Linked DNA regions of Diceros bicornis minor. The protein of the gene in region 1 purifies or fractionates together with the protein of each later gene. This does not show direct contact. Links are inferred from orthologs where the notes say so. Each region holds a gene or a part of one and is shown in the gene's direction. Other genes may lie near its edges.

Region 1 (7,696 bases):
TGTTTTCCACAGCGACTGCACCATTTCACATTCCCACTGGCAACGCACGAGGGTTCCAACTTCTCCACATCCTCCTCCACATTTGTTATTAGCTGTCTTCTTGGCTATCTGTCAGCCATCCTAGTGATGTGAAGTGATACCTCACTGTGGTTTTGATTTGCATGTCCCTAATGAATGTCAGGGAGCTTATGGGAACATGGGAACACAGACAATGCCTCAATAGGCAGATGTGGTGCAACACTGGGCTGGTAACAGGAGATAAGTGAGGCTCCTTGGAGCTTGTTTGCAAGTCATTCCACTGAGGGGACGGCTCCAGCTTGATGAGTCTCAATTAGGAAAAGCCAGGGCTGATGGGGGAAGAGAAGAGAGTGTTCTTTGCCTTTATCACATCCTGTGTCCCTGCTCCAGCCCCCCACGGCTTCCCTCCTGGGCTACAGAGCTCAGGACAGGCTGAGGAACCATGTCCCCAACCCTGTCTGCCCTCTTCTGTCTTGGTGAGTCCTTAGGGTCCATCTGGGAAATGCTGAGGGACAGGCAGTGGGCTATGAGACAAAGAATTTTTTATTTTTATTTTTTTGATGTCATACTAGTTTATAACATTGTGAGATTCCAGTTGTACACTATTGTTTGTCAGTCACCGTATAAATGCACCCCTTCACCCCTTGTGCCCCCCCCCAACTCCCCTGGTAACCACCAAACTGTTCTCTCTGTCCGTGTGTTAGTTTATATTCCACATATGAGAGAGGTCATACAGTGTTTGTCTTTCTCTGTCTGGCTTATTTCACTTAACATAATACCCTCCAGGTCCATCCATGTTGCTGCAAATGGTACAATTTTGTCTTTTTTTAATGGCTAAGTAGTACTCCATTGTATATATATAGCACATCTTCTTTATCCAATCATCTGTTGATGGACACTTGGGTTGCTTCCACATCTTGGCTATAGTAAATAATGCTGCAATGAACATAGGGGTGCATAAGCCTCTTTGGATTGTTGATTTCAAGTTCTTTGGATAAATACCCAGCAGTGGAATAGCTGGATCGTATGGTAGTTCTATCCTTAATTTTTTGAGAAATCTCCATATTGTTTTCCATAAAGGCTGCACCAGTTTGCACTCCCACCAGCAGTGAATGAGAGTTCCGTTTTCCCCACATCCTCTCCAACATTTGTTATTTTTTGTGTTAGCAATTATAGCCATTCTAATGGGTGTAAGGTGATATCTTAGCGTTGTTTTGATTTGCATTTCCCTAATGATTAGTGATGTTGAACATCCTTTCATGTGCCTATTGGCCATCTGTATACCTTCCTTGGAAAAATATCTGTTCATATCCTCTGCCCATTTTTTGATCGGGTTATTTGTTTTTTTGTTGTTCAGTTGTGTGAGTTCTTTATATATTATGGAGATTAACCCCTTGTTGGATATATGATTTGCAAATATTTACTCCCAGCTGGTGGGTTGTCTTTTCATTTTGATCCTGGTTTCGTTTGCCTTGCAGAAGCTGACAAAGAATTTTTTTTAAAACATTGCATCAGCGATGAATTTCAAGACAAGAGGGGACCTCCGAGGGCCCCTTCATCTGTTGGCTGGGAAAATTGGGAGCCAGAGAGGTGAAGTGTTTGTCTGAGTTACTCTAGTCTATTCACAGCTGGGTCAGGAAATGAACACAGGTCTCCTAGTACGGCTGCAAATTTCTCCCACAAACCACATTTTTTTTTTTTAAATGTGAACTTGGTAGTTATAGATTAGAGGACTAGATTATAGACTTAATTTGTCAGAATCCCTCATGATACTGGAGCAAATAATCCTGCCATTTTTGACAACATGGATGAACCTGGAGGGCATTATGCTAAGTGAAATAAGTCAGACAGAGAAAGGCAAATACTGTATGATCTCACTTGTATGTGGAATCTAAAAAAATCGAACTCACAGAAGCAGAGAGTAGAATGGTGGTTACCAAGGGTAGGGGGATGGGGGAAATAGGGAGATGTTGGTCATAGCGTACAAACTTCCAGTTATAAGATGAATAAGTTGTGGGGATCTCATGCACAGCATGGTGACTATAGTTAACATTACTGTGTTTTATGCCTGAAATTTGCTATGAGAGTAAATCTTAAGTGTTCTCACAAAAATAAGATAATTATGTGAGGTGGTGGGAGTGTTAATTAGCTTGATTCTGATGATCATTTCACTATGTGTAAGTATATAAAATCTTCATGTTGTGCCTCTTAAACACATACAATTTTTATTTGTCAGTTATAGCTCCAAGTAGCTGGAAAAAGAAAGAGTCTCCCATGAGGGGTTGGTGGTGGGATCAGATGCATTTTTATCGCCTGCTCGTCATCAGGCTTTGTGTGAGGTGTGTCATATGCATGATTTCCTTATTTCTTCAAAAGAACTTTATCACTAAAGGGATAGAGGCTCCAAGAGACCAAGCAGGAAGGAAATAGTTGTGTCACGGGGGATAAGAGGGCATACTATGAACACAAACAGCCTCTTATTCATTCATTCTTTAACACACACTTATGTAGCACTTACTATGGGCTAGATATTATTCTATGTTTTTTTTTCAATAGACACTTATTTAATCCCATAACAGCCTGATGAGGTAAGGCCTATTATCATCCCCATTTTACAGATGAAAAAACTGAGGCCCAGAGCGATCAAGTAACTTGTTTAAGGTCACACAGTTAGGGCTCGAATAAAAACTAAGGAATTTTGGCCCAAGTCCACGTTCTTCACACTAAAATATGCAGCCAGTGTTTGAATCTACCTCCTACCAGCTGCAGGACTGTGAACAAGATACTGTCACAATAGCCTGATGTATAAAATAGGGTTAATAATAGTACCTAACCAGTGGGATTGTGGTGACCCCGAAACCATTCACAAAACTCTCAGAATGGCACATGGAATATTTCCAGTCATGTTGATGGGCTGCGTGGAAACCCACGGAGGGACTGAGGTGGGGTTGTGTTGGGCAGTGGACAAAGACATGGGTGAAGCTTGGGTACAGGATGCGGAAGAACCTGGTGTGGACAGGATGGGGCTCAGATGGAGCTGGTCACAAGTGTGTCACCCTGAGTTCTGGAGTCAGGGATGATCTGGGTTCACCACTTCCTAGCTGTGTGTGCTACAAGAAATTGCTTAGCCTCTTGGCCCAGTTTCCTTACGTTTATAATGGAAACAATAACAGTCCTTCCTTCCAGTGTGTGTGTAAGGATAAGGGTTATCAGATGGAACACGGGCTGCCCAGTTAAATCTAATTTCAGATAAACAACAAATACTTTTTTAAGCCTAAGCACACCAAATATATCTCACAGAACATACTATGCAAAAAAATATTACTCGTTGTTTATCTGATATTCAAATTTAACTGGGAGTCCTATGTTTTTATTTGCTAAATCTGGCAACCCTAGTGAGACAGATAAAGCTACCAACTCAGCAGAAAAGGGAAAGAAGAGTCTTAGTTTGAGAGAAAAAGGACAATTGTTCAACCTAGGGAAGAATTAGTTCAGATAGAAGGAGAACGGGGGGGAGGGTAACTTCAAGGGAAAAGTGGAATTTACAGATTATGCAGTTTAATAGATGTTGTGTGAAATTACAAGGAGAGGCTATTGAAAATTGTGGAAAAACTATGCAGATGGAACTAAATTGGACATTTGTTGATTTTGAGGGAAAAACAATAGGAAAAATACGTGGGTAAAATATTATAATCCTCAGGTGTGAATAATATTTGTAGAGTCATAGTAAGGTAATTACAAAATATTGATTTAATCAAAAAGTTAAAATAGTGGGAAATCTATGATTAACACACCCTGAGCTCTCTTGACTTATGATATAATGCGAGAGACCCCCACCGGGATCTAATGTACAGCATGGTGATTATAGCTAGTAATAATGTATTATATACTTGAAAATTGCCAAGAGGGTAGATTTTAAGTGTTCTCACCACAAAAAAGAAACAGTAATTACATGTGGGGATGGAGGTGTTAGCTAATACTAGGTGGTAATCATTTTGCAATACATAAGTGTACCAAATCAATGCATTGTATACCTTAAACTTACACAATGTTACATGTCAATTATATCTCAATAAATCTGGGGGAAAAAAAAAGGAACTCCATCAGGCACACAGCCTGCTTCTCAAAGAAGAGGTAATTCTCTTTCCAGTTGTCAAAAGTGTGTGCGTGGGGAGTGGTACTGGAGGGAGCTGAGGGGTGGAGCAAGGAATCCCTATTTTTTTCTTTTTTTTTAAATTGTAGCAGAATAATATATTTAACATAACCTTTACCATTAATGACTTTTAGTACATGCACAATGTTGTGCAATCAGCACCTCTATCTAGTTCCAAGACATTCTCACCTCTCCAAAAGGAAACTCCACACCCATCAGCAGTCACTCCTCAATCTCCCCTCCCCCAGCCCCGGGCAACCACTAATCTATTTTCTGTCTCTGGACAGATTTACCTATTCTGGACATTTCATATAAATGAAATCATGCAATATGTGGCCTTTTATGGCTGGCTTCTTTTACTTAAATTATGTGCATGTGCGTCTTTGGGAAAAAAAAATAATTATGACAAAAGAAAGCTAACCCATGCAAATATCTTACCACCGTGCCCAGCATGCAGGGAGTGTGGGTTCGTGAGGTTTTAACGTTTGGTCCTTTTCTTCTATGCTCAGGGTTGTGTCTGGGGCAGGTGACACAAGCTCAGAACGGTGAGTCTTAATCCCTCTTCCGGGTTCAGCCCCTGCGAGGGCAGGAGCGGGTGAGAGGGTCCAGAAGGAGGGGTCTGTTGGGAAGATGACCTCTGCTAGGCTCTGCTTCCTTTCCAGGCCCACTGCCCAAGCCCTCCCTCCAGGCCCAGCCCAGCCCCCTTGTGCCCCTGAAGAAGCCGGTGACAATCCGCTGCCTGGGGCCTCCGGGTGTGGACGTGTACCGCCTGGAGAAACTGAGAACCCGAAAGTACATGGACCAGGCCATCCACTTCATTCCGGCCATGAGAACAGACGACGCTGGACGCTACCGCTGCTCCTACCAGAATGGGACCCGCTGGTCACCCCCCAGTGAGCAGCTGGAGCTGATTGCCACTGGTAACAGGAGGGGCGGAGGTGGGATGTGGCTGGATGTGTGGCCTGAGGGCTACACGGTCCTCAGTTCTGGGCTCAAAGAGGGTGAGAACTGGGATGCCCACGATAGTAAATCTGAAGTCCCCCTGGGGCAGGGATTAGGGTGGGGCAAGAGAGCGCTGGCCTTGAGTGCTAAATTTAGGGGTGGTTCCCAGAAAACTCGTCAATCAACATAAATAATATGCTGAGGCAATTTTTTTAAAAAAATCAAAATTAACTCAAGAATATCCACAATGAACAAATATGACGATTTTCCGTAAAGACAGGCTCCAACAGTGCTGTGCCAAGCCACAGCCGAGCCTGGCACAAAAGGAAAAATGTGCATTCCTCTGTTCACATTCTAATGCATTTTTGTTTTTTATTTTTTGATGGAATAAGACAGTCTCAGCTTATGCTTTTATTTCTAATGAATTTTTTAAATGTTTTTTTTTTTTTTTTTTTGTGAGGAAGATCAGCCCTGAGCTAACATCCATGCTAATCCTCCTCTTTTTGTTGAGGAAGACTGGCTCTGAGCTAACATCTATTGCCAATCCTCCTCCTTTTTTTTCTTCCCCAAAGCCCCAGTAGATAGTTGCATGTCATAGTTGCACATCCTTCTAGTTGCTGTATGTGGGATGCGGCCTCAGCATGGCCAGGAAGCGGTGCGTCGGTGCGCGCCCGGGATCCGAACCGGGGCCGCCAGTAGCGGAGCGTGCGCACTTCACCACCAAGCCACTGGGCCGGCCCCTCTAATGCATTTTTAAATGGTTATTTTCCGCAGCAGATTTTGAAAATATCATTGATGAGTTTTCTTCTGTGAAAGCCAGGAGAGTAAAATGATAACAAATTCTGTGGGTTTTTTTTTTTTTTGGTATAAATAAAATATTTAAACTCAAAATAATGTTGCGTACTTTAATAACTTTCTTTAAAAATTTTCAATATTTTTTCAATTATGTTAATAGTATGGAAAAAATTAACCATAAAAATACATAAAAATGTGTATGGAGGGGTGCATAGATTCCTTTTTGCCTTAAGCTTCAAACAGCTTTGCTGGGCACAGTTGGATTCTGTCTTGGTTTAAAATCTTGATATTTTGGTTATTGTTGTGTTCGCATTAGTTGTGATTTAAAAATTACCTTAAAATATTATTTATCTTCATTACTGACAGTTTTTTTTGCACCTGCTTACATTTTGCCTCCAAGGAGAGTGTCTCCTCTTATTATCTGATCAATTATTATTTGCTAATACTTTGTTGAGGATTTTTGCATCTATGTTCATCAGCAATATTGGCCTGTAATTTTCCTTTTTTGTGTTGTCCTTGTCTGGTTTTGGTATCAGGGTGGCGTTGGCCTCATAGAATGAGTTAGGAAGCAACCCGTCCTCTTCAATATTTCAGAAGAGTTTGAGAAGGATAGGTATTAAATCTTCTTTGAATGTTTGGTAGAATTCAACAGAGAAGCCGTCTGGTCCTGGACTTTTGTTTTTTGGGAGGTTTTTGATTGCTATTATTTCAATCTCATTACTTCTGATTGGTCTGTTCAGATTTTCTATTTCTTCTTGATTCAGTTTTGGGAGGTTGTATGTTTCTAAGAATTTATTTGTTTCTTGTAGTTTATCCAGTTTGTCGGCATATAGCTTTTCATAGTGTTCTCTTATAATCCTTTGTTTTTCTGTGGTATCTTTTGTAATATCGCCTCTTTCATTTCTGATTTTATTTATTTGAGTGTTTTTTTTTCTTAGTGAGTCTGGTTAAAAGTTTGTCAATTCAAATGATAGCTTCTCTCTAAGCATATCCCTCACCACCCTATTTAAAATTGCACCCAGATTTAAAATGGCACTCATCACTATCTGGTATGCCACACATTTACCTATTTATCTTTGTTATTGTCCATTCTTTCTTCCTGATGGGATTCTTGTTTCTTAGAGCAGAGACTGACATTTAGTTGCTAAGGAAAAAAAATTTTTGAATGAATGAATGAGACTTAATTATCAGGCAATGTTTGTTGTTGTGAGTACTGTGTGGCAGGCGTGGATTGCCATGACTGACGATGATAATGCTATCAAATTACATAGTAGTGGAGGTTCGTGTTTAAGAGTGGAGAGCCTGTAGTCAAACTCCACAATTGCAAATTTCAGTTCTGCCACGTACTGTCTTACGACCTCAGACAATTTATTTAGCATTGTGCGCCTTAGTTCCATTTATAAAATAGGGATATGCGTAGTGATGAATTCATAGGTCTTTGTGAGGATTCAATGAATTGACATATGTCATGAGCTTAGAACAGCACCTGGAAGCTGGCACTTTAACACAAGTTTACAATATAAGTATTGTGTTCCCTAATACAAGCTTACAGTGCAATATAACCTTAAGCTATTTTGTTACTACCATCATATTTTGAGTGCTTAGATACTCTGCTAAATGCTTAATATTTATTGTTTCATTCAATCATTCCCATTTTATGGGAGAGAACACTGAGGCACGGATATAGGGGGAATTTATCTCCAGGATCACACTACCCCTAAGCAACAGAACCAGGATTTGCGCCCAGGGACTATGATGTGATCTCAGTCATTCTCCCTCAACCACTCT
Region 2 (8,183 bases), on another chromosome or scaffold:
TAAAACTGGAGCAGGGCAGACACTAGGGTCCTGAGGCCAGCTTCATTTGAGGGGCTGGGCAGCCTTGCTGATGATCAGAAGGTAGGGACAGAGGGGATATGGCACTGGCCTCCTCCCTCAGAGAGAAAACAGAAATGAAGTCATGAGCAATTCTCCCTCGTACCTTCTGGACACTCCCCAGGAGACTCCAGGACTTTAAATCTGACTACATGAGACAATTTTTTATGCATAGTTTACTATTTTGGTCTACTGTAATTACCACGTAGCACGATCTTGTGTATCATTGAGTGACAAATTAACTGTTGTAAATTTGATAAGATTTCAATCCTAATTTTGTGATTGGTGTTATTACCATTATTATTTGGCTCAGTTTGAACAATTTCTTGCTCAGGTAGCTTGGTTGTTCCTGTAAAAGAACTGAGAAGGACTCTCTTAGATTTAGCCCTGCTAACTTCCAGGCTCTGTCTGTGGTTTGCCCAGCTCAGAAGCCCTGACTTTGCAGAAGGCATTGTAAACTAAGGGTACAAGCTCGGGCTTTGATGTCAGTCAGACAGAGAGAACGGCGTTCGAGTCCAGCACGTGCCACTTCAGCAAGGTGAATTTGGGCGAGTCACCTACCCCTTCTGAGGCCGTTTTCTTATCTATCAAATGTAGAAAATAAAGCCTGGATGTTGTGAGGGTTGGTTGGAGGCTTTAACAAAATAACCTGCCTGGTTCCTGGGTGGGAGTGGTGATGGAAAGCCTCAGAAATCAACCTCTTCTCCATAGACTCTGGACGAATCAACACTCTCGCTTCCCTCTGGAACACGCCGCTTGATCCCTCCAGCAAAGTGAACTCTTTCCTCTGGGTAACACTCATATACTTTCCCAAAAGCCAGTTGTTCTGAAGTCAATGTGTGCCTGCTATCACAAATAGGCAACTTAATTAAATAGAAACTTAAAAAATATGAGTGAAAAAGTTGTTTCCATGTCAAAAACTAAGTTCAATATTTGGAAGCAGTCGCAGGTAAAATGGTAAAAGCAAACAATTGCACTGAATTAGGTGTAGAAGATAGGAGATTGTGGGCGAGACAGCTCTGTTTCCACAAAGCTGTAATTGGAAATTAGGGATGAGGTGCCAGGGGTGTGGTTTAGGTGGGAAAGATGGCCCAGAATGCCATGTAGGAGATACAGGCTCAGAGGAAACGCCCTGCGTTACATGAGAGGTTGGCAGTGAATGAATGTACTTGAGGTTGAAGTTCAGGTGAATGTTTTAAGGCACATTCACATCATTTTTATGATTTCCCCATTTTAAACAACGTTTTTGATTCATCAGTCCCAAGTGTGTAGATGAGAGGCCAGCTGGCATATTTTATTAGGATCACTGGTCAGTAGAAACTCATCTCTTTGGCAGCTATGCCCCACATTCTCCCAGGATGTTTGGTTGGGGCTCTTTCCCAGTGGTTCCCAATCTTGGCGGCTCATTGGAACCACCTGGAGAGCTTTAAAATCTCTGACGATTGGGTCCACCCTCAACCTACCCCCGGGGCTTTAATTATCAGGGTAGGGCCTGGGCGAGTGATTCTCACGTGCCGCCAGGATTGAGCAGCACTGCTCTGTATTATTTGCTGCTTGGGTCTCAGGTTTGTGGCCACGTTTGCAAGAGTCAGATGGCGAGTCTCTGCTTCCAATCTGCCCCTCCCCACAACAGCAACCAGAGGGCTTGTGCAGACAGTCTGTAAGAGTCCCTGAGGTGCCCTGGGGAGTCTGAAGGGCAGCTTCCAGAAGAGTGAAAGGGGCACCGGGGACAGTCCACATTGTGGCAATGAGATGGGCTGCAGATCAGATGGTGAGGTGGGTGGGCTGACGTGAGTGTGTGCCGAGAATGACCAATCTCGGCCATAAGTGCCAGGATCTGAAGGTCTGTATTGAGGGAGAATTTCCTTGAGGTCAGGCCTTTCATTTTCCTACAAGTGGAAGATGGGATGTTTTTATGCGCAGTCGATTTTTGTGGTAGTTATGATCTATAAAGTTGCCACAAACAATGAATTAGCTAATACTGAACAATTGTTCCTAGGAGGAATACGGGGTTAGGTTGCTGCGAGCTTCTGGCCACACTTTCATCAACTTGATAGATAACCTTGTTTTAAGTGTAAATCTGTTTCAAGACACCTTGCTTAATGTATATTGTTGATTCATTAACATTATTGACCCCACGACCAAGAGCACCATAAGTCATGCCTGAACAAAGTTGATATAACACACATATTTCCTCCATAAGGCACATCACAGCCTTCTTGTGCTTAGGACACTAGACAGCACTTCAGCACTACACTCAAGGGACACTTTAAACAGCGAAATCAGGGGCCGGCCCCATGGCATAGTGGTTAAGTGCGTGCGCTCCGCTGCTGGTGGCCCACGTCCGGATCCCGGGCTCGCACCGATGCATCACTTGTCAGGCCATCCTGTGGCAGCCTCCCACATAAAGTGGAGGAGGATGGGCACGGATGTTAGCTCAGGGCCAATCTTCCTCAGCAAAAAGAGGAGGATTGGTACGGATGTTAGCTTAGGGCTGATCTTCCTCACAATAAATAAATAAACAGTGAAATCAACAACAAAAAGCACAAAAATGCAAAAATCATGGCACTAAACAGATCTCCAAAAGGACACATGTTTATAGTACAAGAGCTAAAATAAGAAGGCAAAGCATCACCCAGTTTGACCTCAGCTGGAAGTGTGGGAGTGTGTGTGTGGGGAGACTCAAATAGTCACCCCTGGGCGCATGTCACAAATGACTGTGAAAGTGCTGTGAGTATTGATTGTGGGGTCACGAATAAATTTTAGTGAATAGCTGAATTTGCAAATACAGAGTCTGAAAAAATGAAGATCGACTATACATGGTTGATGCCATTTCCACTACTTCCTCCTGCGTCATTCTCAGTCACATCCCTCACCTTCTTCAAAGTCGGCTTATCCTGGCAAGGGGGTCTTTGTTAATTTGCAACCTGCCTCTGATCATTTCATTCTGTGTTCAATTTTCAACAGAGAATACTGTTGAGACAACTCAGTTCCTCAGTCAATGAACCAATCAATCGATACTAATGAAGTATTTTAAAGCACCTAACAGAACTTTGGAGAGGTACAGTGGGAAAGAGATAAATATAAGAAGCAATGCCTTCCAAAGAGGGCTTTACTATTTACTTACATGAAACAAAGGCAAACAATGCTAAAAAGTACCTAAATCTAGTTTAAAATGACTGTTGCACATTGTAAGTGCTCTAGATATCTAGAAAAGAAGGTTACCAATGAGGGCTTTAAATAAAACTTTTCGGGGACATGGAACTTTGATGGGACTTGAAGGAGGAAAGATAGACATGGAGAGTGGGTGGAGGAAATATTCAGGATATATTAAGACAGCTTGAGATGTGGGAATGACAATAGTTTTTTTTCCCCCCGAAATAAGAATAAAGAGATGAACTTAGCTGAGACACTTGTGCATGAGGAGGGAGAAGTGGTTGGGCCGGGTGCAAGACCAGCTCTGCCCGCTTACGCTTTGTTCCTTATGCCAAGAGACATTTTACCAAAAACACTGACAGGACATTCCAGATGGATTAGCCAACACCAAACATTCTGTATCCTATTCTTATTTGTGACATGCTTTTAGCCAGGATCTCAAGGACTCATTGGTAATAGCAGATGTTTTAAGTTAGGGCCAATACATTTGAGAGGTCACCCTGAAGAGAAGTCCAGGAAACGGGCCCTGAGGTAGTGAATTACTCCATAGGATCTGTGGCAGATTTCACTCACACTTGCAACACCTTCCAACAGGTAACCCCACTCCCTCCTCTTCAGCAGGAAACTAACCAACTACATACCAGCAAACATCACAGGTATAAACCAACCTACTTCGTTTAAGGCAGTAGTTTGCAAACCTTCATCCTCTGTTACCAGTAACAACGATTGTTGTTTGGGGTTGTGTTACAAGGAGTTGGACTTGCCCACTGGGCTGTGGCTGCAGCCTCCTTAGGTGGGGCCAGCCTCTTAAGAACATTGTCAATAAAAGGTAACAGGTCTGAAGCGCTTAGGGCAATGTCTGGGGCCCAATAGGCCCTAAGTAAGTATTGGCTATTATTAACACAAAGACCAAACCTCCTACAGGATGCTGTTTATTTCCTCGTAAATTCTACAGTGTAGGGCAGCGTTGGCATCCCAGTGAGTAGAATCCTGCTTAGAACAAGTGGGCATCCACAGTGGCTGAGACTAACATTACATCCTGGATTTGTAAGTGGCATTTACTGAGTAGGAATATGAGCTTGAAGATGCAGCTTACTCTTTCAACAGACACTGATTAGGCACCTGCTATGTGTCAAGCTCTGGGCAACATGTGGGGATGCAGAGATTGTAGGAATGACAGAATAACAGGGCCCATGACTGTGTACCGGGCACAGTGTGAGCCCTTTACAGAAGACATGTCATCCTCCCAGTAACCCCGCGAGCTAGCCATCCTTATCTCCAGTTTCCCGGGAGGAAACAGAAGTTTTGAGGAACTGAGTAAATTGCCAGGCTATTTAATTCCACAGCCACCACCGCCATCAATACCCTGAACATCCTCGTACACCCTTCAGGAGCTTACTCTGTACTGATTAAGAACACAATGAGACCCTGAGCATAAACTCGGCACATCTCATTCTCTCTCTAGAAAACTCCAAATGTTGGGGGGATCAGAGCGCGCCCCCTCCGCTGCCAGGGGCACAACACTTCCTAACACCTTGGGGAGTAGGCTGGAAGGCAAGGCAAGGAGACGCGAGAGGTTTCGTCGATGTGCTACGACCGTCAAGGCTTCAGAGTATTTCCCTGGAAGATGCTTCTGTCCGTCTCTACCTGAGAATGCTGGGCCCGAGGAGGCTCCACTCTGCCAAGCTGCACACTGGGACACCAGGTTTCTCTGCCTTCAAGGCTCTGCGCGACGGCCACATGAAAGACCCAAACCTTGGGCAGAGGCCAAACGGTCACTTCCCCGCCCTCCGGGTGCAGTATGCAAATCCGAGCACCAGGAAGTAGCTGGGACCTCTCGGCCGAGCCCAGCGACAGTCAGTTCCTCTCCCGCCGCTCCGGGCCGCCCGCCGCTCGCTCCCGGCCGTGGCGCCTCGGGGCCCGACGCGCTGCAGCCTCCAGCCCGCGGCAGGCGGGGCGGCCGCGCCACCCCGGGCCCCGCGCCCGCAGCCCCTCGCCGGGCGTCCTCCGTTCCCGGCCCGCAGCCCCTCCCCACGCGGGGCCCGCTGGGCCGCCCCGTCGCGCCCCCGGCTCTGAACTCGAGTCACCGTGGAGCGCCGCCGCCCCGCAACTTTCACCGCGAGCTGGTGAGTCCCGCGCGCGAGGCCGGGGGTGGGCGCGGGCGCCGGGCAGACCGGGCGGAAGCCGCGGCTGTGCCACTGGCCGGAGTCCGGGGCGCGGGGCCGGCCCTGGGCCGGGGAGCCGGGGTCGGCACGGGGAGCGGGGGTCGGCACGGGCCGCGGGGGCGGGGGGCGCGCGCCGCTTCCTGGCCGCACGGGCGCCGGTCCCGGCGGCGAGGGCACCCCGATGCCCTCAGCCCGTGGGTGACCCGGCCCCGGAGCGAGAAGGCGGGGGCGGGCGGCTCCGCAGGTGTCTTTCCCGCGGAGCGCACAGGGGCGTGGTGGGAGTGCGGGCGCGGAGGCGGGCGCGCCGCGGGTCCCTCTGGCGCGGAGCCGCCGGCCGGATGCTGTCCCCGCTCGGGCCACTCCCGGCGCGCCGCGGGGAAGCCCCTCTCCGCGCGGAGCGGGCGCGCGGCGGGGATCCTGGCGGGGACTCCTCGGGTCGCGCAGCCTGGTCTCCCCGCTGGGCTCTGGGTCCCCAGAAGTGAGGGATGGGGCCCGGCGCGGGCCCTCCTGCAGGCCCGCGGGCAGCTGCCCTCCTCGGTCGCGCCGGGCAGCGGCGTGACGTCGAGGGGCTGCGGCGGAGCGTGGTGCTCACCCTCCCGCTGAGCCCGGCGCCTCTCGGCCTGCAGAGGAGCAGTCCGGTGCCTCTGCCGCCGGCGGAGAGGAAGCGAGAGTTATTTTAAGAATTCAGGGGTTGCCTTTCCTTCGCCTTGGGGGAAGGGTGTCAGCGACAGTTTGCACTGTTCTGCGTTATCCTGGCGACCGCGGCGTCTGCTGGATGCTGTGCGTTTGTAATGTTCCTTCTAATAGCCGGCGTGGCTGTGTGGTTGTGTCTTCCTTTGTTTGTATGCCCGTGTGAGTATGGGTCTGTCTTAATTAAGCCCAATCCACCCAACTTCTTTGCCATCTCAGAAACTCGAATTGAATCCAGGCCTTGCAATTTCCTAACCGTGTGTGAACTTGGTCCTGTTATTGAAATTCGCTCTTTGGGTTTCCTCATCTCTTGGAGAATATATCTACCTCCTGAGCTATTTATTGCACGTAAGGCCCCAAGCACATACTAGGCATTTCATAAACAGTGCTGTTATTATTATTGATCGCAAATAACTCTGTCCATAAAAACGAGGCTCCCTGGTTCTTTGTAATGTGTTGATTATAAACCTAAGACTACATGTCCGATTTAGCCACCTGGCCTTACTAGTAAATCTGCTTAATAAATACACCAGGGATTTGCTGTCCCAAAGCAGGGCCCAGGAGTCTCACTCACCCTGAGAACTAGCCAGTAAGCACCTCTGACTGACTTTTGATTTGCTGGCCACCCCCAGCCGGCTGCAGGGTTCAGGAGGGCAGAGGTGTTCTCTCTGTGCAGGCAACACCTAAAGCAGTGTGGACTGGAGCAGGCACTGAGAGAGGACAGGAGAATATAGGGAGTTGTAATTTAACTAAGTACTGCAAGTCCTTCCTGAGAAGGGCAGTGCGCTGGAAAAGGGTGGGATTCTGTTGTCTCTGCTTCTTATTTGGGAATAAGGAGGTAAACGTCTTGAGGCCTGAAGAAATTTACTTTGATTACAAGAGGCTTTTGATGACTGGGCCTGTTTGGATGCAGAGTGGGCTAACCTGCTTCCTGAGTGAAGAGGAGAGGGCAGCTGATGTCGGGAAAGAGAAAGGAGGAACCAGAAGCCTGTTGTGGGGCTCTTCTGCCATTTACCAGAGCTGTGATTTAGGATGAGTTACTTAGGCCATTTATTCAGCCAACATTTCCTTCATAGCAGTAACTAGAGTTATATTTTGGTTTGTCTGCATGTGTATAGTCTATATTCACCACTACAGTGAAGGCTCCTTGAGAACAGCTTTGTCTGTCTGGTCCAAAATGCTAGCCCTGGTGCCTGTCCCATAGTGGAGATTACTTAGAAGAAGGAATGCAAGTCTGCTCTGAGCCTGGTGCTGTGCAAGGCCGAGGAACAGGGCTGGTCCCTAAGGCATTTGCAGCCTACTGGCCCTCTCTGTCCTGGTGTCTAAAATGGGGATGTGAGGGACTTTTTGGCCTCTCAGGTTATCCCAGCTGTAGTGTTCTAAGTGGGCATCTCCGTTCAGCCCTGGTTACTGTGCTGTATCACTGGGAGACAGGTCTTGATTTGGAGTGGTAAGATTTGGCAAAAGTAGTTTGCCAAATCACAAAGACCCACTTTATCTTAAAGTCATTGGTGTTGCACAGGTATGTGGAGAATTTGTGATCTCCACCCCTCATCCAATGGCATTCTTTCAGCAGACAAGTGGTCCGGCAGTTTTGTGAATCAATGACTTTCAAAGCTTTTTAGTTCTACCGTATTTGTGTTCAAAAATAAATCACCAAAACATCTGAGATGCCAGTTGGTTGAAATGAATATATGGGGTTATAATTTAACAGAATTAAACTATATTATCCATAAACAAACCCATACTGATTTTAAATCTGTATAAATGAGAATACAGTGTGTACATGTCCACAGCATGGAACATTGTTACAGCTCACTCACACTGCTGATCTCAGTGACCTCCATGGCCTGAGACATGGATAGTATTTACATGGAAGGTCACCACAGTCATTAGTTGGAACATTGATGAGTGACACATTGATGGTAGAGAAGGCCTCAGACCTCTCCAGAGCTCTTCCTGGTGATGATGGTGCTAACACCCTTCACTTATGCAGGGCTCTGAAGCCTTCCTGAACTCTGGTTTCATTCGAACCTCCCATGGTCTCCCAGGGTAGGCAGCATCAGTTACAGAAAAAGAGGGTTGATGTCATGTCCAGGGTCACAGGCCTGGTTA

What was found.
Region 2: the proteins of GP6 (region 1) and LYN purify together in Homo sapiens (affinity purification with western blotting; 5 studies listed by BioGRID and IntAct, with this or other methods). This does not show direct contact. The link is inferred for Diceros bicornis minor from reciprocal best matches to the Homo sapiens genes GP6 and LYN.

The regions. Positions count from the first base shown.
Region 1 is NC_080773.1:33,073,177-33,080,872, reverse strand, and holds the start of GP6 (platelet glycoprotein VI), read left to right. Parts: upstream 1-4,622; coding exon 4,623-4,716; intron 4,717-4,833; coding exon 4,834-5,091; intron 5,092-7,696.
Region 2 is NC_080772.1:9,706,192-9,714,374, forward strand, and holds the start of LYN (tyrosine-protein kinase Lyn), read left to right. Parts: upstream 1-5,150; 5' UTR 5,151-5,339; intron 5,340-8,183. UniProt on the Homo sapiens protein: Non-receptor tyrosine-protein kinase that transmits signals from cell surface receptors and plays an important role in the regulation of innate and adaptive immune responses, hematopoiesis, responses to growth factors and cytokines, integrin signaling, but also responses to DNA damage and genotoxic agents.